Linked DNA regions of Arabidopsis thaliana. The protein of the gene in region 1 interacts with the protein of each later gene in a pairwise test. Each region holds a gene or a part of one and is shown in the gene's direction. Other genes may lie near its edges. The genes, in order: NAC066, CRF8, AT2G39000 and bZIP2.

Region 1 (5,376 bases):
GTTATTATTTCTAACTTATGTAGCAAAAATGGGTAACTGCGTATTCAAAGGCAATGGTGGTTCAAGAAAATTATACGATAAAGATGATTCGTTGATAAAAGTGGTGACTCCAAACGGTGGCGTGATGGAGCTTCATCCTCCCATCTTCGCCGAATTCATCACCAACGAATTTCCCGGCCATGTCATCCACGACTCTTTAAGCCTCCGCCACTCATCTCCACCGCTTCTCCACGGCGAAGAACTCTTTCCCGGTAACATCTACTACCTCCTTCCTCTTTCTTCTTCCGCAGCCGCGACCGCTCAACTGGATTCCTCCGACCAACTATCAACGCCGTACAGAATGTCTTTCGGGAAGACGCCGATAATGGCGGCTTTGAGTGGCGGTGGTTGTGGAGTGTGGAAGGTGAGGCTTGTGATAAGTCCGGAGCAGTTGGCGGAAATTCTTGCGGAGGATGTGGAAACGGAAGCGTTGGTGGAAAGTGTGAGGACGGTGGCGAAGTGTGGCGGTTACGGCTGCGGCGGAGGAGTTCATTCGAGAGCGAATTCAGACCAGCTAAGCGTTACGAGTAGCTTTAAAGGGAAATTGTGGTAAAATTTCGAATTATGAATAAACTACGTTTATGTTTTAATCTGTTTCACGATTTAAGCATTTAAATTAGTATGTTGATTTCCGTATTCATTGAAGACTTGGAACGATTATATAAGTTTATCAACGTAGATATATTTGAAATATCATTGTTATCTCTCATGAAACAATTAATTTATGAAGTCGTAGACTCGTAGTTAGAGATTATTTAATCTTCCCTATTCAATGCCAAAAGTCTAGAAGAGCAAAACAAAAGGGAGAAACTCTTTTATTTCAGGCCCAATGACACAAAGCTGGCCAGAAACAGTTTAAGATTAGGCTAAAGTTATAAGTCCGACAAGCACGAGTGCTAATATATATAGTTATATGACGTCTCACCATTAAGGGTTTAATAAATTTTGAAACACCTCAAATTAAGATTGCTTCCCATGCAAACTTCCTTCATCTTCTAGAAAAATTACGATTTGTAATACTTCAATTATATCATTTTAGTTTTTTGTCACTAATTATCATCAATTTATCATAGCTCCGTGCCGCAACAACGTTCGTTTTAATCAGATTATATATTACTCTGCTATAAACTCAGAACCATGTTAGAAAAATGAAAAAGACATTTCAGAATATTCATTAACTCAAAATTTTAATCTCATGATTTAATTTTTTATTAACAATGTTATCCTATAGCACATGGCAAATTTGAACGGCCCTTGCGTATTAATCTATTATAATCTCAAAACCATGTGTAAGAAAAAGGAAATTCAGAAAATAACCTTTTGTAAATAGGCCCCCACAAAATCTACAACATACGTAGATACCTCCTCGCTTACAGTTGTAAACAACTGTTCATCTAGATTCATGCCGTCATTCAAGTTTAAATTAATACAATAATTTAAAATTTTAATTTGGATGAATCGAATCCACCGTCGTTTCCTGAATACCAGATAGGTTAACTTTATGATTAGTTCGAGTGAACCACATGCACAATATTCGAATCTTAGACATTCGTTGCAATGTTAACTTCACATATATTTGATAAACGCTTCTTGAATCAGATCTTAATCTCTTTCTTTCTCTCCATCTTCTAAGGAGGTTGTGGATTATCATGTAGTATATCATTATCTTCGCATCACCTTCAACAAGAACAAGCTACGAGCTTTAAAGTCGTATTTAACACAATAATGTATAAAGTCTTTCTTCATCACATCACATACATTTTTTGTTGCCATCACCCTTCATTCACTTTTTTTGTTAACACTATTCGTTTCTATATAAAATAAAAATAAAATGAGGAATGTCTTGTCCATAGAGATTTTTAAGGTCGAGGGTCATCGGAGCGATGTGGGCTTGCTTCCTACATTATAGTTGATATGTGGATCCCGCGTGGACCATATTTTTACCCAATAGCTACGTGCATGGTCCCACCGCTCTCTCTCACGCACTATTCCGAAATTGCCATAAACAATTTCACCGGACAAAAAGAGCAAATAATTTCGATGTTTAATAAAGAGACCATTAGTATATTTGACCCAAAAAAAAATAAAAAAAAAAGAGAGACATTACTATAACTTTTATTAGATGAAATATTGCAACATTGTATTTATAACGGATCTAATTTACTGAATCATATTTTTTTTCTTTGTTAAAGAGATACTGAATCATGCAGAAAAATAGATAGATTTTTAAATACTAGGTGAACTCATGACGAATCAACCATTACGAGAGATTTCTGGATAAAAGCAAAAACAAAACAAAACTAACATGCTAATCTAGGCAATTAGTAGAGCGAAAAGTCGGCAAAACCAAAGGCCGAAGAAGCTTGATCGATATACTTTTTTTTTTTTGTTTTGGCTGGATATACTTGGTATGAACTAAGAATTAAGTAAAAACTCATAGGGAGTAATTTTTCGAGAAGTGCATTCACTATGAGTATAAAACAGACATTTTCAAATTATTAAAACAAGCTCTTAGAGGCTCATATGTTTAATTGTAAGTGGCGGCTCATGCGAACTTATAATGAAAACATCAAATATTCGGAAAAATAATACTCCACTGTTAAAAAGAAAACTTAACAAAGGAATTAAAAATATGAGAGCAAAAGAACACATGCATTTTCTCATGCATGTACTATTATTTATTTTTTTGCAGAGTTGATGTAAAAAATATACACATATATATAGACATACTTTGGTTAGTTATAAACTCGTTCTATTTTCTTCTCCTTTTTCTATCTTTAGCAATGAACATATCAGTAAACGGACAGTCACAAGTACCTCCTGGCTTTAGGTTTCACCCAACCGAGGAAGAGCTCTTGAAGTATTACCTCCGCAAGAAAATCTCTAACATCAAGATCGATCTCGATGTTATTCCTGACATTGATCTCAACAAGCTCGAGCCTTGGGATATTCAAGGTTCATCATTTATCTTTTATTCTTGATGAAACGTATTAATAGGGCTTGTATATATTAATTAAATTAGTTTTTTAATGCATGTGTTGAGTCAAGAACTAAAGCTCTGAATTCAGGAAATTTTGCAGAGTAATATATACTTTTTGTGATAATAAAATTTGCAGTAACAAAATTCAGTCAAAACTTAACACAACTCTTGTTTTTTCTATGTAGAGATGTGTAAGATTGGAACGACGCCGCAAAACGATTGGTACTTTTATAGCCATAAGGACAAGAAGTATCCCACCGGGACTAGAACCAACAGAGCCACCACGGTCGGATTTTGGAAAGCGACGGGACGTGACAAGACCATATATACCAATGGTGATAGAATCGGGATGCGAAAGACGCTTGTCTTCTACAAAGGTCGAGCCCCTCATGGTCAGAAATCCGATTGGATCATGCACGAATATAGACTCGACGAGAGTGTATTAATCTCCTCGTGTGGCGATCATGACGTCAACGTAGAAACGTGTGATGTCATAGGAAGTGACGAAGGATGGGTGGTGTGTCGTGTTTTCAAGAAAAATAACCTTTGCAAAAACATGATTAGTAGTAGCCCGGCGAGTTCGGTGAAAACGCCGTCGTTCAATGAGGAGACTATCGAGCAACTTCTCGAAGTTATGGGGCAATCTTGTAAAGGAGAGATAGTTTTAGACCCTTTCTTAAAACTCCCTAACCTCGAATGCCATAACAACACCACCATCACGAGTTATCAGTGGTTAATCGACGACCAAGTCAACAACTGCCACGTCAGCAAAGTTATGGATCCCAGCTTCATCACTAGCTGGGCCGCTTTGGATCGGCTCGTTGCCTCACAGTTAAATGGGCCCAACTCGTATTCAATACCAGCCGTTAATGAGACTTCACAATCACCGTATCATGGACTGAACCGGTCCGGTTGTAATACCGGTTTAACACCAGATTACTATATACCGGAGATTGATTTATGGAACGAGGCAGATTTCGCGAGAACGACATGCCACTTGTTGAACGGTAGTGGATAACGGAAATGGAAGAGAGGAAGTGACTAAGTGAGTGACATACCAAAACATTGTGTAGAAAGATATAATAATCATCATACCATATATATAGTTGTTGAAACTTTTACGGTATAAATGGTCAGATTGTGATAATTACAGTACGTAGTTATGTGATATCATTACAGAAAATAAAAGTTCTCTATATCTGTGTACATTTTATATCATGATTAACTTTATAGAAAAGAATTGGTTGCATAGTTGAATTTCTTTGGATCAAGAATATTAGTTTTTGTCTTTTTGAAACTTAATTGCCATTCGATGAACAAAAAGGCAATTACATTTTCTACTGTAAGAAATCATAGTCTGTCACATGCATCGCCGGGTGTTTTCTAATTACAATTATATGAAAAAAGGATTTTGACCAAAAGTTGATTATGATTTCAAGAGAGACAAAAGACCAAAATGATAATTAATTCGTCGACAAATTAACTTTAGGAACAGATGATTTCCATTACGTTAATTATTCAAAGTTTCTCATTTTACTCTCAATTAAACTGAAGTTTTATTTACTAGAAACTTGAGATATTTAGTTGGTAAATGCTTAGTTTGATGTTGAATAGTTTGCTTCATTCATCATTAGGAATAGATTAATTACCCAATTAATCACCCCAACAAACTTGGATTAAGATGCACCAAGTGCTTAATAATAGTAGCTAATTAACCTACCCATCAAAGCTAATCACACTCATTATTTTTCAATTATAGCATTTAATCAAACAGTATTCGTTCTTATTGTTGAATAATCTCTTTCAAGGTGCGGAATCTTACTTTTGAAGAAAAATGGAGGATTCAAATATTCTCATCTTTCTTTTTATCATGTGATAATATTAGTAACAGACTCCATAACTGTAACGTTTTGACCTTTCATTTTCCACTTTAGCTTTCTGAAATTAGATTCGATTTATTATAATGATGTATTGATATTGATCATGTTGTAAATACTAAACGCAACAATTACATGAAACTTGAATTCGAGGCATTAATTTTTCTCTTTTCTCTTTGACCTTAGCTGATGCAAAATGGAGGATTTCTCAAATATCCTCACTGTTATTTATTTTTTATTTTTTGGGTTAAACCTTAATAAAAAATATTGGAAATATCAAAAATGTGTGGGCTGTTACATGTGAGTTCTGCTTGGTATTAATTGTACCACAAGTATATTGGGCCAGGCCCATTTTATTAATAGGTCAATAACGACATCAAATGGACTGTGAGTGTAGGTCCACTCGATGTCTTAATTCGTGAATTTTAAATTTGTGAGACCTTGTTTTTTTCTCTTTGTTATTCCCTTATTAGGAATTGA
Region 2 (4,846 bases), on another chromosome or scaffold:
GGACCTCCGATGCCTCCTTTATGCATCCCATTTGATGCAAACATGGAAGATCGCCAGTGCTCGCCTTGGGAACTATCAATAGAAAATGCATCATCGGTACTTTCCTACTCACCTATCTTTGTATATCTTGAACAAAACACCACCAGGTCTGAGACATGTCTTACTAAACTTCTCTTTTCAGGTCTGGGAGAATTACAAATGCGAGGTTACACCATCTGGAATCTGCACCACCGTGGGGAGAGTAACGCCAGATACCTTTGGACAGTTGGTAGCAGCTGTGAATGAGAGCTACGCTCTAGAGCATTACACGCCTCCATTGCTTAGCTTCCGAGATTGCAACTTTGTTAGGGAAACATTTATGAGTATTACCTCAGATTACTGTCCACCGTTAGTACGTAATCTGAGGATTGTGAACGCAGGACTCGGACTGATCTCCGTAGGAGTCTTACTATGTCTGGTGCTATGGATATTCTATGCGAACCGCCCCCAAAGGGAGGAAGTGTTTGCGGATCCACACCCTCAAAGAAAAGATGATAGCTTTGGTAACGGCTTGGATACTCATCACTCAGATGACGAACCTAAGCTTTCTGTAGAATGCGTATAGTATAGAGGTATAGTTAGATAGAATCAGATATTGTATTTCATAATGATATGAAAGAGAACAATAAAAACATTTTGTAGCGTTCATGTTACAGTAGAAGAGGAAGAAGAGACCAGAAGTGGAGCGAAGTTTCACTTTCTGGCTTTTGTTTTCACAATGATTTCGAGTCTTAATTCAGATACAAACTCATTATGAATTCTATATACAAGGGAGATATAAGTATTAAAATGTGATCTTGTTGGTGGCAAGAGCCATGAGATTAAATGGTCTGATATGGTTTTTGTTTCCATTCCATAAAGCTTTTGACATGAGACGGTAAGTGTGTTCTGTGGGATGATAAAAATCCCAAAACAGAAACTCATTTGGGTTATTGCAAATCTTGTATCCTTCTCTTCCACACTGCATCAATCCTCCCAGTGTACCGTTCCCACAACACGCGTTTGAAACATCCGAAAACCCTTCACCAAAAACATGATTCAGCTTTCTCATAGACACATTTGAAAAAGATCTCAAAGATGGAAGTTAATTAACTATATTGAGTTTACCGTAACGGGCAGGGTAGGTTTGAAATCTGTGAGTGATACCATATACAGCTCCAAACACCGCAATGGCTCCAGGGTACTTAGTGGGGATTATGTTCACTATATCTTCAAGTCTTTTATTATACATCTTGGCCATAACATTCATCTTACCAAAGCATTTATTGGTTGGGGCATTAGGAAGCATGGCTCTTGCAGGGACACAACCTACAGGACCTAAGGAGAAGAAAGCGATGCGGCGTGCGCCTAGTTTGTAGATCTGATCAATCGTTTTGTTCACTTGGTCTAACATTGCGTTCACATAAGCGTCTGGAGAAAGTGTAGGAGCTCGGAATGGGAGGAAGTAGTTGAAGATGTCGTTAGAACCAGTTTCTAATAAGAAGAGAGACTCTTGGATTATAGATTTTTCGATAAGGTTTTGCTCTACAAGTGTCTGGAATTGCTGTAGCTGGGTTTGGATCGGTGTCACGCCCTACATTTGATATGTGTACTTAATGAGTGATTCACAAGAAACAAACATTTTATTTGGTCAAGGTAGATATTTACCATAAATTTGTTGGTATCAAGCAAGAGACCACTACCAGCACTAGCAAAGTTAATGCCATTTGAAAAGTTTGAAGTTCCATTCAAGATTTGAATCTGCAATTCCAAGAATGGTTTCTGTAATGGAAGGCCTACAAATTCCGCTGCAATTATTGCGTCAAGAAAAGAAAAAAGAGACAAAAGTAAGGTTCCTTGCAGAAGAAGAAATGTTTTAGTTAACGAGTTGGGAGGTAATTTGTTACAGATGAAGTCAGCGACGGTTCTTCCGTTGGTGAACCTCCCAGTAGGACGGTGGAAAAAGGAAGAACCATAAGGAGGAAAATCAGCCTGAGCGGTACAGTTTTTGTTGTAATGGTTGTTTCCGGCGTCAAAAATAGAGTCACCGAAGGTAAAGATAGCAGGGACGGTGGAAGAAGACTTGGCCAGAACAACCGGAGAGATTAGAAGAAGCAGACACATGAGTAAGTCCATTGAAGAAGAAGAAGACATGGGACAAATGAGTTTATAATCATATAAAAGGAGATTATATACTGACACACATATATATATATATATATATATATATATATATATACAAAATTGACACGGAAGGCAAGAACATTGTTCATGTTTTTGCACTTACTCTTATGTGTGATTAAAGTTTCAAACTTATTCCTAAATTTCTGCTTCTTATTACATAGATGAAGGAAAAAAGAGTAAAGCGTTTTTTCCTTTAGAAGATGGGCTTCAAGCCATGTTGAGAAATTTCATGGATTTTACTGCATTTTCAGCTCTGAGGCCCATACGGCCCACATAGGATTGGTTAGAAAAAAATAGAGAAGTAAATAAGTAAAGATGAAAAGCATCAGAAAAAGAGATTCTGAAAGAATAAAAACATATTCTTTCTCTCAAATGCTTTCCTTTTAATGGAGACGAAGACGGAACCCTAATTTCCGCAAATTCACTATGAAGCGTATTATCAGAATCTCATTCACCGACGCAGAAGCCACCGATTCTTCTAGCGACGAAGACACGGAGGAGCGTGGAGGAGCATCCCAGACTCGGCGCCGTGGGAAACGCCTCGTTAAAGAGATCGTAATCGATCCTTCCGATTCCGCCGATAAACTCGATGTCTGCAAAACACGGTTCAAAATCAGGATCCCGGCGGAATTTCTCAAGACGGCGAAAACGGAGAAGAAATATCGTGGAGTGAGGCAGAGGCCGTGGGGGAAGTGGGTGGCGGAGATCAGATGTGGAAGAGGAGCTTGTAAAGGACGACGTGATCGTCTCTGGCTGGGTACTTTTAACACTGCTGAGGAAGCTGCTCTAGCTTATGATAACGCTTCAATTAAGCTGATTGGACCTCACGCGCCGACCAATTTTGGTTTGCCGGCGGAGAATCAAGAGGATAAGACGGTGATTGGAGCTTCTGAGGTTGCTAGAGGCGCGTGAAGTGGGGTTGGTAATTTAGTTGTTAGCATTAGCAAGAAGGTCTCTCTCGTATTTTGTAAATTCATCTTCTGATGTTGTGTATGATCTTGATGTCTTTCGTCTATGTATATATATGAAACTCGAGAAATGAACTATATTTTGATTTACACACAAATTTTAAGGTACAAATTTTTTTGAATTTTTAAAACGTTTAGGAAAGAAAAGTTTGGGTTGAAATAGGCTCTTTTTATTTGTATACTATTCAATCTTTTTACCATTTATGGATCAACACATAATAGAACAGAACTCTAACCAAATTGAACGTTAATGACTTGGATCAGAGTTATATTTTGATGGTTGATGAAAAGTTGAAAATTCTTTATATATCTTTCCATCTTTTGGTTCTTGTATCACCGTATCAACGATACATTTTTATACTTTGGGGTGTCTAATGAAAAATACTGAATTTATCAATTTACTTTGACTTGTTGAAGACTGATGGCCATGGGTGAGGGGTTTGGAGATAAAGAAAGTAATAAAGAACATGAAGAGATCAGCTAAACCAAGAGACTTCATCATACACATGATATATATGATCTTCTATAATACTATAATAGTAATGACTAAAGAGGAAATGAATGTTTTCGATAATAGTAGTGACTAAAGAGGAAATGAATGTTTTGACAAGAAAAAAAAGAAAAAGAGAGGAAATGAATGTTTACATGTACGTGCACATGAGTTTAAAAATAATAAGTTTGAGGAAACACAAGTGCGTTAGAAAAAAAGCAAACAGATATTTTCTTTTGACTTACGATTATGAAATTGAAAAAAAAAAGGATCTGAAGATAAATTTTGATTGGTTCACAAACTTCACATGATAAACAAGAAGATTTTTCTTTTTTGAACAAATCTTTTGATACCTTAAAGAGGAAGATTTTTGATATCAAAATGAATAAAAAAACAAAACAGAGAAAATTTTGTTTTTGATTCGTTTTGATACCTTTATGAGGAAGTAACATACTTATATTCAAAATGAATCAATGAATCAACATTGTAATTAATTAAATTTTTAACAGACCGCTTGACTAATTAAACAAGTTAAGATTATAATATTTCAACGCATTATTGTATAGTACTTTGGTGATTTGCATGTAAAGTTTTTTTTTTTTAACAAAGACTTTTCTTAATTTGCTATAATCAAGTGCCATTATTTAGATCGAGAGAGAATTTATGGCGGCTGAATAAGAGAGGACGACGCATGTATCTGTATCTCGAGGTGTAGAATCAATATACGACACGCCGCTATAAATTCCACAGAAGATATCATATAATATTAGTATATAAAGTATAGGGTTGATTCGGAGAAAGAGGTTAAAGTATTAGATTGAAACAACAAATCTCAGGGGAAGAAGAAGAGAGAATGGATTCGGCGGAGAAGGGCTTGCTTGTTGTGAGCGACAGAGAAGAAGTAAACAAGAAAGATGGGTTTTTGCGGGAAACGAAGAAACTTAGTTACATCGCCGGTCCGATGATTGCAGTGAACTCGTCTATGTATGTTCTTCAGGTGATATCTATAATGATGGTTGGTCATCTCGGTGAGCTTTTCCTCTCTAGCACCGCCATTGCTGTTTCTTTCTGCAGCGTCACCGGTTTCAGCGTCGTTGTATGTCTCTTTCTTGATCTTTCTCTTTTTCATTTTTATTAGCTTAAGATTCTAAATTGTGGTTGTGGTAATCACACAGTTTGGATTGGC
Region 3 (5,738 bases), on another chromosome or scaffold:
AAAAAAAATGCAAAATAACAGACACTGATAGATGTTGCAAAGTAATGAAAAAGACTACTTAAAATGAAAGAGTCGTCGCTCATACATTTAACGCAGAAAATATAAGAGTAATTTAAAATGCAAATTGGACCGACCTTTAGTCGAAAAGTTTAACGCAGAAAAATAAAAGTAATTTAAATGCTATTACAAATTGAAACAAAGAATCAGATTATTTGACGAGCAACAGTATATACAAATGACATGACAGTGAAATGGGGCGAATGTATCTGAAAGCTCTCCTAATCAAGGAGTCAACAATCACCTATTTAAGAATGTACGTTGTCTAATACTTGAAATTTTACGTTTTTGTTTTTCTTTTCAAATTTAAAACTCTTGCCGTATTTAAAGATACTGGTCATTAAGGTGGCCATGGAACTAAACACAGCCTGAAAGAAAATTTTCAAAGATTTTCCCAACCCCAATAGGAGAGCTTGCGATGGGATTGAATTTACCACGATTATTATATTTTCTGAAAAAAACCTTTTATTCCCAACATTTGAAATGTTTCATATGTGGAGCAAGAATTACGATATGAAGAATGGAGAATGAGAAACCATATAATTTAATAAATATTAACATGAATATCATCCACTTTTATTAACACAGGATCAAATGACTGTTTTTTTGGGAAGACGATCGACCTCCATGAACCATGAACATTAAATCTTGTCCACGTGGTGTCCGTGGTAGACCCATCTAATTTACGTAGCTAGGCCCGTCCATGGCAGAGTAGGATTGGACACCAAGATAAATACAAGAATATATTTGAAGCGAAGCATTTGGCGGATTATAGAGTTCTACAAGACTACAACAGATGATGCATCACTTAATAATACCAAAAAAAAAAACAAATGTCCCACTTAATAATCGAGCGACGACCATTATTTTTTTCTGTAAATAAAATGAAAATGAATTGCTTCATGAATTATATTACTCATTTTTCCTAGAGATGGGACCGTTCATAAAAAGTATTACGGATATACTGATAGCAAAACATTTTTTTTTTTTCTACGCAATTTTGTAATTTACAACTTATCTAAACACATTCGGATTCATTGTAATATTAATTCTATGTATACAATTCATCTTCATCCATATTTTTATAACATCTTCTTGTTTTGAATTTTTATTTTTTACATGAGTCACATGACTATAAGTCAATAATATCATTTTGCTGCTAATACGTGCTGTAATTAAAAAAGAAGAAGCAAAAAGACTCAAATTGTTACTATAAACAAGAATGTTTAAAACACGTGAAAAAATTGGTATAGGGCTGCTTAAAAGTAAAAAACAATTGCGTGAAATACAAAGGCTTCATTTAAGGTTCTCCATTCTTTGTTCCGACAACTTTATTGTTCATAACAAATAGCTTACCCAAAACGGCTTAAACAAACATTCGATAAAGTATTAATTAATGTAAGGAAAAAAAAAGTAACAGAACAATAACTATTAAAAAGTGACCCATGTAAGATATCGAAAATGATTCTGCATTTTTTTTTAAAAAGATGAAGAAGTGAATCTTCTGTCGCGGAAACTTCTAAGCAGGAGACATGGCATCTGGACACCACACGGTTAGTACACTTCTATGATGTCGGCGAGAGACGTGGCGACATTTGTGGATCGTGATGAGCTTGTGGTTGGGTCGGAATGTACATTGTCTTTTTGGATAATGGTTTTGTGGCTCACCAAATATCATTGGATTAGATCAGAACTTCGAAATCTAACTTGTCCACGTCAACTTTTCACTGAAATTTCTTTCCTGTAGTTTGTTTCTTTCTCATTATTTAGATGGAAGTTTTGACAATTCAAGCGACATCAATATAAAGTATTTTTGTTTGGGATTTAAGGATGGTCTCCTACTATTTCAAATTTGTGATGAGTTTAGTGTCGACTAAAGGGAAAAAGTTATATTCGTTTTTGAATTTGGATGTTTTGAATTCGTAAAAAAAATATAAACGCGCTTAGCTTATTTGTTTTATTTTCTACATGTAAATTTAAATTTATAAGAAAATTGCATAATATGGTGGAATAAGTACTGATTTTAAGGAAATTTATAAGAAAATAAATTGTAATTTATGATGAAAATAGTTAAATAGCTAAAAAAATTAGCGGATTAAATCCAAATACAAATCATGCAAATCAGATTTCTACGTCACATTGGTGTGTTTATGAAAATCCAAATACAAAACATAGATAAGTAAACTTACAATAAACTGATAACAGTAGTCTTCGTAAAGTTCAAATACGAAGCATTTTTTTTTTGTGGAATGATGAATGGTAATGGTATAATATGATGAAGATGATGATGATGAATGCGGTGGGTGAAGATGATGATGGATGATGTTGATGATGGTGGTGGTCATATGGTGATGATGGTGACATATGCTGATGTTATATAATGTTGATAATGATGATGATGCTTGTATGAAGATGGGGATTGGGGATGATGTTTATGGTATGATAATGATGTTGTTTATGAAGACGGATGATGCGGTGTGGATAGTGTTCATCTCTTTTCTTGTTTTGGTTGCCAAACCATTTCACTACAGATTTTTTTTTTGGCATAACAGTAGCTACAAACTTTTGAAAAAAGAAAGAGCAAATTTGATTCTAGACGTTTTGGCAATGTGGATTGGTGGGGTAAAAAAAACGTGTGAATTGGTGGGAAAAAAAAAGAGTTTATTTCCCTAACGCGAATTATTAAATAAAAAGATTACTATTAGTGAATAGTGACTTAGGATAATCCTGCTGGTTCTTTATTAAAATCGTGATTGGTGCGATTTGACCGGTCGAACCGGCCGGTTTGTTGTTAAAATCGTTTGTGTTGGGTAAGAAATAAAGATAGCTAGAGAAGCAGAAAAGGCACGGCGAACGGAGAAAGATGCGGAGCACACCGTTGGGGACGACGGCGGTTTCACCAGCTTCAATCAAACACAACTCTTATGGGTATGGCCGCTTCGTTTCCTCTTCAGGAGTCTCTAATTTCTCTATCCATCGTCGGAGACGCCACTCGTCGTTTTCTATCTCTCAAGCTCCTTCACAAATCAACTCAGGTTTGATGATGAGCTATGATTTAGATCGAGTTCCAATTCTTAAGCCATCCCCAGATGAATTCAGTTAGATGCTCTCTAGTGTAATTGACCATGCCTGATTGAAAGATTCAATTTTAACTCATTTTTCAACGAAACAATTGATTGCGCATGTTTGCTTCATGAAGCTTTAAATTTTCAGGCTTTTGCATGATTTCAGCAAATCAGTTGTTTTATTAAACCTGAGGACCTCTTGTCACTGAGTCTTTTAGGAATAGTTTAGAGTTTTCACCGGGTTTGAGATTCTGGTTACAGAAGAAAAGTGTGAACATAGTTGTTGCTTCTATCAATGGGTGATAAATTTGTTCTTTGATGAATATATTTGTTATCTTTGTATGTAGGAGCTTGCAATGCAAGTCAAATAGTTGATCTTTTTCCAGCGGTTTCACCTGAAATCGTTGTTCGTGAAGCACGGTTAGAGGACTGTTGGGAGGTGGCAGAGACTCATTGCAGCTCTTTCTTCCCGGGATATTCGTTCCCGCTTGATGTTGTTCTAAGAGTAGATAGGTTAATGGCAATGGTGATGGGATTTTCTATTCCACCTGGGTGCCAGAGGACTTGTTTAGTGGCTGTGATAGGTAGTTCAGTAGATGAAACCATCTGCTTTGGAAGTGATGATTTCAAAATTGGAGCTTTTGATGCAAAGATCAGCTTAAACAAAGGTTATGTTGCTGGAATCTTGACTGTTGATACTGTGGCTGATTACCTTCCAAGAAAAGGACCTCTCCGCCAGAGAAGGTTCGCTTTTCGCCTTAGCTTTTATTTCTGTCGTCAAGCACTGTGCCTCTGTTCTTAAGACTAAGGACCTAGTCTCAAAAATGTGCAACTAGGATAACATAAAGTTTCGCAATCTTTAGCTAATCTTGGTGAAAGAAGGATCTTGTCATTTTTTGTTGGGAATGTGTTGTGCTCGGATCTGGATTCGTTTATTGTCTTATAATGATTTGATGGTGTGTTCCTAATTTAAAGCCAGGACCGGGATCGCTTATGTATCAAATGTGGCAGTTCGAGAGAATTTCCGGCGCAAAGGAATAGCCAAGAGACTCATATGGAAAGCAGAGGCTTTAGCCAAGAACTGGGGATGTAGAGCTATCGGCCTTCACTGTGATCTCAACAACTTAGGAGCAACTAAACTTTACAAAGATCAAGGTTTCAGATCCATCAAGATCCCTGAAGGAGCGACTTGGCCTCAACCGAAGACATCTCCTGACACCAGGTTTACCTTCATGATGAAGCTAGTGAACAACAACAATACACAAGCTCTTGAACAGTTTCGGTAAATCCGAGGAAAAAGGAAATTTGAATTCCGTTTGTTGTTGAAATATAGCTCTGATTATGTAATTGTAAATATGGTTGCAGTCTTGTGTAAATGCTATTGTCTATAATATTTCGACCAAATACGCTTTTTCAGTTTTTAAGGTCTTGTAGCACCGTGAACTTTTTGCTTCTCCCGCAAGCATGTTTCAAGACATTCCAAGTCTTAGCCATACTTGATTTATATACCAATGTAATAAAAAAAAACATCTAAAATCGCATTCGTCGCACTATGCTAATTAAGATCCATAGTTTAAACCTACATAGCGTATTCGAAACTCAAGATTAATATCACTGGAACAAGAAGAAATCGGCATGGAAGTCATAAAGATATCACACATTGGACATATTATTGTGTGAAGAAATTCTGACGCCACTAACATGTAATTTTATCTGTCGAACATACTTAGCTTCATTTTCTATATCTCAAACTTGTATTTTACGAACTCCTTTCTGCAAGGCAGCAAGTTTGATGATATTGAGCGATTCTACCAAATCATCACATAGTACATGAGGGTCTGGAATCACTGTTTTGTCGACTGCTAGATTGATGATAATCTTGTTTATGTAGCTCACGAAATAGATAATAAGAGCCTTGTTCAACAACAAACATAAACAAACTGTTAGTTAATTTCATCAAAGTTTTCTATGATTTCTAAAAAAGTTAAACTGATATACAAGTAGGGCATGAGGCGCATGATTAGTATACTTACTTGTGATCCACCCAATGAACTTGCTATTGCTGCTATGTAAGATATTTGATGAACAAAAAAATCTTGTTTCTTCGTCTGGACCCATCAAACTTGTTTCCTTTTTCATAGCTATCCTGATTATTCTCCAACTTTGCATTTAGCCACACTTTCCTCTTATACTACTGTTCTTTCTTTTTTTCCTATGATCAATTTGATTAAATGCTTTGGCAGTACACTTTGTTATTTTTGTGACTTAGCTTATGTCTTATTTTTTGTTCTATTTTACTATCTAATATCGCATTGATTGCATTACTAGTTTGGAGATTTAACGAGTATGCTAGGCTTTTGGCATTTGGATTTAGAGTTGTTTTATTTTGTAATTTATTAATTTGGATTTTGGGTTGTTTCTTTACTGTATACAAAAAAAAAAAAACGAAAAAAATATATAGCGGTCAACAATTCATTTATATGGAGCCTACAAAAAAATTTATATGGTGTGAAATTTAAAACAAAAATTGATTGCATATAGTAAAGAAACGTGCAGACTCTCGTCCTTTGGTTTTAAATCAAGCTCAACCACGATACCTGACTCTTCATTTACTCG
Region 4 (4,792 bases), on another chromosome or scaffold:
CGCTATAAGTTACTATTCAGCGTGGGACGAAAAAAAAAAAAATTACTACTCAGCGTGGTGTGCCGACATAAAAATAATTACTCGTGTAAAAGAAAATAAAAACTATGAAATACTTGAAGTCGTACTATTAAATTATAATTTCCTTGGTTAATATCATCGCTGTATCAAAATTTAGATTTAAAATATGATCAATGATATAATTTAAAATATATATATAACGTATGATAAAACGATCAACTTACATTGTTAAGTGTTTCTAGAGCATTTTAAAAACATATTCTATAATTTCATATATAACATTTTGTTCATAAAACTTAGGTAAATTTGATCTCGAATCTTTAAAACAACCAAAATATTGTCCACAAAAATTCGGTGTAATATTGAAGGTTGTTGTTGTTCATGTTCTTGATTACTTTTCAATTCTCTACATTTTTACATATTGTTTCATTTAGAAAAGGAGTTGGTTGAATTGTGGTTTATCACTTAATTTTTATTATTTATATGTAATTTATTTTTAATATAAGGTTTTATTAATTAATTTGCCTGTAGTATTGTTTTAATGTATGTTTATAGTTATTCATCAAACAATTGTGATCAATATAAAGATTATCCGACCGTTAGACTCGTCACAGGAAATTTTTCTGAAGTTGAATTTCAAAAGCTCAAACAATTAAAACGCGTAATGATAAGTGTTGTAAAATGTTATAGAATTAAATTTAAAATTGTAAACAAAAAGATATACAAATAAAGAAATGATGTTGATGATGATAGTGCTTTATTTTCTTATATTTTTTGTGTGTCTTTACCAATAAGAAAAGAATAATCCATTTTTATAGATATGAAAATTTAGTAAATCAATTGAAATTATTACAAATGATGTAGTGTAGTTATTTTGAAAATGGAGTAAACATTATCTGTAGAATATGAATTAATGATACGTGTTACATGTATTAGACATTCATTGGATTTGTAACAATTTATAAATAATTAGAAACATACTTCAGATTTATCTCTTATAACTATATTATAACTTTTTCTAACAATTTGTGACAGTTTTCGTTTCATTTTAGTTCTTACCTTCAGTAAGATCAGCTTTTATTTTGTGTTAAACAAATTCAACAACTCGTACAAACACTTTATGAGACTTTTCAATAATTAAGACGAACAACAATGATCTAGTACACACAAATTAGATACTAACATTTTTAGTTCGAAATCATTTACTAAATTCAAAATTTTGATATCAATCACATGGCTCGAAATTACTGTATTAGATTGAAATATCAGAGCACATATCAATCCCACAAATCCTCATGAATTTACTTAATCCACATACTTTAAATTTTATTTTTAAATATTCTATATTTTCTTAAAATGTTGGCTGAAATAATGTTTTACAAAATTTTATTTCGTTGGAAAATTATTAAATTTATCACCTTCCTATTTGATATCACTTTTAATTCACCAATTGTATGTATCAAAATATTCAAAGCCATTGACTGAATTAATGGCAACAAAAATTATCAAAGATTTTCTGTAATTCCTACATTGACTACATGCAATTTTCAAGACATTGACTATTTTCAATAGTTTTCACTCTTTTTAATCTTGATATCTGGTCAACTTTTACCACCTACCTATTTGTCTATCCTACTACATATCATTAATCACACCATTAAACCACACAAATCTATACTTACCATTAATATTTTTCTTTTGAATACCAAAAAAACAATCAAAAAGTAAAGTGTCATTACCAAAAAAATAAAAAAGCAACATCCACCTACTGACCTACATATTTTTTTTAATAAAATTATAATGAATCATTTTGTTAGTAAAAAATAAAAATGATAAAACAATGGGCGCGTAAACGATTCCAGCTTTCCCCACCATCCATTATTTCCCAAAAAATCAAAATAAATTAAAAAGACACAAGTGGATGCTTGAGATTTGGTTTCTATATAATCCATAACACACCCTTCATCAAAAACCTCTTTCCCATTCACTCATCTTCTCTTCCTTATCTCCTTAAAAATCTTCTGCTGTTTTCTTTTTTATATTTAGAGCTCCTCTGTTTCTTCTCCAATAACCAAAAAAAAAAAAAAACTCTTCCTCTGTTTGTTTTCAAGTTCTGACATCATAAATTCAGACCGAGAAAACATAAAAATTTGAGTCTTTTGATGATCGGAAACTGATGACTCCCGTTCTCTGCGAAATCCTGCTCTCTGGGCTCACGGTCAAATCTGCTCTCTGCCGTAGAACCCATCTCGTTCAATCTTTCTCCGTCGTCTTCCTCTACTGGTTTTACAACGTTTCATGAATTGCTACAAACTCTAATTAATTTTTTCAGACAGATCATAAAAAAAAACCAAACATAAAACATAAAACTCTGTCCTTTTTTTGTCTTCTTGTAACTTTTCTTGTTAAAAATCAATGGCGTCATCTAGCAGCACATACCGGAGCTCAAGCTCTTCCGACGGTGGTAATAATAACCCGTCGGACTCCGTCGTCACCGTCGACGAACGAAAACGTAAAAGAATGTTATCGAACAGAGAATCTGCACGTAGGTCAAGGATGCGTAAACAGAAACACGTTGATGATCTAACGGCTCAGATCAATCAGCTATCAAACGACAACCGTCAGATCTTGAACAGCCTCACCGTAACATCTCAGCTTTACATGAAGATCCAAGCCGAGAACTCTGTTCTCACCGCTCAGATGGAGGAGCTTAGCACCAGACTCCAATCTCTCAACGAGATCGTTGATCTTGTTCAATCCAACGGTGCAGGATTTGGTGTTGACCAGATCGACGGCTGTGGTTTTGATGATCGTACGGTTGGGATCGACGGATATTACGATGATATGAATATGATGAGTAATGTTAATCATTGGGGTGGTTCGGTTTACACTAACCAACCCATTATGGCTAATGATATCAATATGTATTGATTAATAAAATTAATTAAAATAATTAGATGCCCCTTTTTTGTCTTTTTATTTTAAAATTTAGCCCATTTTGGTGTTTTTGGGTTGGTGTGATGATGTAATTATAGTACATGCATCTTTGATTGGTTGGAAGGATAAATATAAACTTTATATATATATTGGGGCATATATATATGAGTTGTACTTTGTCATGTATTGGTGTGTGTTTTGTTATAATTATATGATTATATATGTTTATGTTATCATGATTTTGTCTTTCACCTTAATATTCCAATTGTTTATTCGGATAATGGTTTGTTTATGCTTCGAGAAAAGCAACTTTTTGGATTGGTAATTTTTAAGAATGAAAAAAATCACATTTTGGATTGATGATTATATATATATATATATATAAGCTGCATTTACAATTAAGTTTTGGTTTTTCTGCAAATAACAATAAAAAGGAACTTCTAGATAACATGTCAAATCTACCAAGTCAAATTTCACCTGTAATATAATTCGTTGTCAGCAACGTAAGTGCTAAATAATGATCAATTATATAACAAATAGAGTTCCTTGCGACTAGGAGAAATTTATCATAATGTATGTGAAAAATAAAAGATCTTCAAACATATATATGATGCTTATATGTTTAGAGGGTTTTGTTGCAAGAACCCATCATTTTAATATAAGATTATGGTTTTTTTAGTTAAAACACAGATGAGCAAATCTTAGGTGTATGATAATTATTTAGAAATGTATTAAAACCTTCGTCAGTCAAACATTTTTGCTTAAAAGTATCATTCATACAAAAGGACATAAATTTAAAATTCAATGATTTTTCCTTTTTTTCAAATGTAATAACACCAGTGATAAAGTTTATTGTACGAACGCAAAACGTTCATATTAATGATGGTATCTTGAAGATTTATTTGTATTTATTACATATGTGGCCAAGAAAACATATAACGTCAATTTAGTTTTATTGCTTTTGCATTTATCTTTTCTAAGAATCTCTATGAATATATTGTATTATAGATATATATTGTGTATATTATATAATCTATATTTTTTTTTTTAATATTAGATGTTTCAGGGTCAGGGCATATGAACGTAATCTATTCTTTTTTTTAAGAAAGCAAACTTTTTCCAACACGAATTTAATCCGTGACTTCAAACATTTCCATATTTACGGTACACTTGTATTATTGTGAGTGAATATGGTTTATGTTTATCCTTTATCTTTTTGAATCTTATTATATATAAAAAGGTTGGTGTTGTGTCTTTACGATTTTAATCTTAACTTTATGTTATATGAAGACATATATGAAAACGATATATAAACACCAACAAAATAAAAATAATCATTATTGGATGTCCTATTCTCTTCTCGTATATGTGAAGCTTTACACTTGCTGAAAATTATTGGCTGTTTCTTCTGATTTGTTCAATATATATATATATATATATATATATATATATATATAAATGATCTCATCACAAACGATGGGCTATTATTTTTCGTATATGACATGAGACAATTATTAGGTATGCCTATATATGAATGAGCACTTTTGTTTGTTTGCCTGTGTTAAAGATCCAGAAGAGTGTACTGATGGGTACACATGTGATTCATAAGCATTTCGCATTTTTCACCTCAATACACATAAATAAAACACTTTTGTACGCCTTTTTGAAATAAGATAACTTTTATGGAACAAAACAAAATGTAATAAAGCAACAAACAAGGATTATGGATAAATGACACATACAGTGTTGTATCTTCGATAATATTAAGTTCTACACCATGCCGTGGATAGTCCATGATTTAATACCGTTTTGTCGATATATTAGGGATGACTTACAC

What was found.
Region 2: the proteins of NAC066 (region 1) and CRF8 interact in a two-hybrid assay, tested with the Arabidopsis thaliana proteins (one large-scale study listed by BioGRID).
Region 3: the proteins of NAC066 (region 1) and AT2G39000 interact in a two-hybrid assay, tested with the Arabidopsis thaliana proteins (one large-scale study listed by BioGRID).
Region 4: the proteins of NAC066 (region 1) and bZIP2 interact in a two-hybrid assay, tested with the Arabidopsis thaliana proteins (one large-scale study listed by BioGRID).

What each region holds. Positions count from the first base shown.
Region 1 is NC_003074.8:22,927,854-22,933,229, reverse strand, and holds NAC066 (NAC domain protein 66), read left to right. Parts: upstream 1-2,773; 5' UTR 2,774-2,822; coding exon 2,823-2,994; intron 2,995-3,204; coding exon 3,205-4,037; 3' UTR 4,038-4,224; downstream 4,225-5,376. Other genes in the region: AT3G61920 (UvrABC system protein C), read left to right, coding at 29-592. UniProt on the Arabidopsis thaliana protein: Transcription activator of genes involved in biosynthesis of secondary walls. Together with NST1, required for the secondary cell wall thickening of the anther endocethium, which is necessary for anther dehiscence.
Region 2 is NC_003070.9:26,820,249-26,825,094, forward strand, and holds CRF8 (Integrase-type DNA-binding superfamily protein), read left to right. Parts: upstream 1-2,268; 5' UTR 2,269-2,628; coding exon 2,629-3,114; 3' UTR 3,115-3,423; downstream 3,424-4,846. Other genes in the region: AT1G71110 (uncharacterized protein), read left to right, coding at 1-96, 182-604; GLIP6 (GDSL-motif lipase/hydrolase 6), read right to left, coding at 824-1,059, 1,147-1,612, 1,687-1,826, 1,926-2,172; AT1G71140 (MATE efflux family protein), read left to right, coding at 4,514-4,756, 4,836-4,846.
Region 3 is NC_003071.7:16,285,124-16,290,861, reverse strand, and holds AT2G39000 (Acyl-CoA N-acyltransferases (NAT) superfamily protein), read left to right. Parts: upstream 1-2,599; 5' UTR 2,600-2,920; coding exon 2,921-3,092; intron 3,093-3,469; coding exon 3,470-3,866; coding exon of another isoform or gene 3,867-3,924; exon of another isoform or gene 3,925-4,097; coding exon of another isoform or gene 4,098-4,101; coding exon 4,102-4,408; 3' UTR 4,409-4,637; downstream 4,638-5,738. UniProt on the Arabidopsis thaliana protein: Protein acetyltransferase with dual specificity triggering both N-alpha-acetylation (NTA), with a large spectrum of modified N-termini, including methionine, alanine, serine, threonine and to a lower extent glycine and valine as substrates, and epsilon-lysine acetylation (KA) of several plastid proteins.
Region 4 is NC_003071.7:7,896,445-7,901,236, reverse strand, and holds bZIP2 (basic leucine-zipper 2), read left to right. Parts: upstream 1-1,994; 5' UTR 1,995-2,433; coding exon 2,434-2,949; 3' UTR 2,950-3,225; downstream 3,226-4,792. UniProt on the Arabidopsis thaliana protein: Transcription factor that binds to specific DNA sequences in target gene promoters. BZIP2-BZIP63-KIN10 complex binds to the ETFQO promoter to up-regulate its transcription.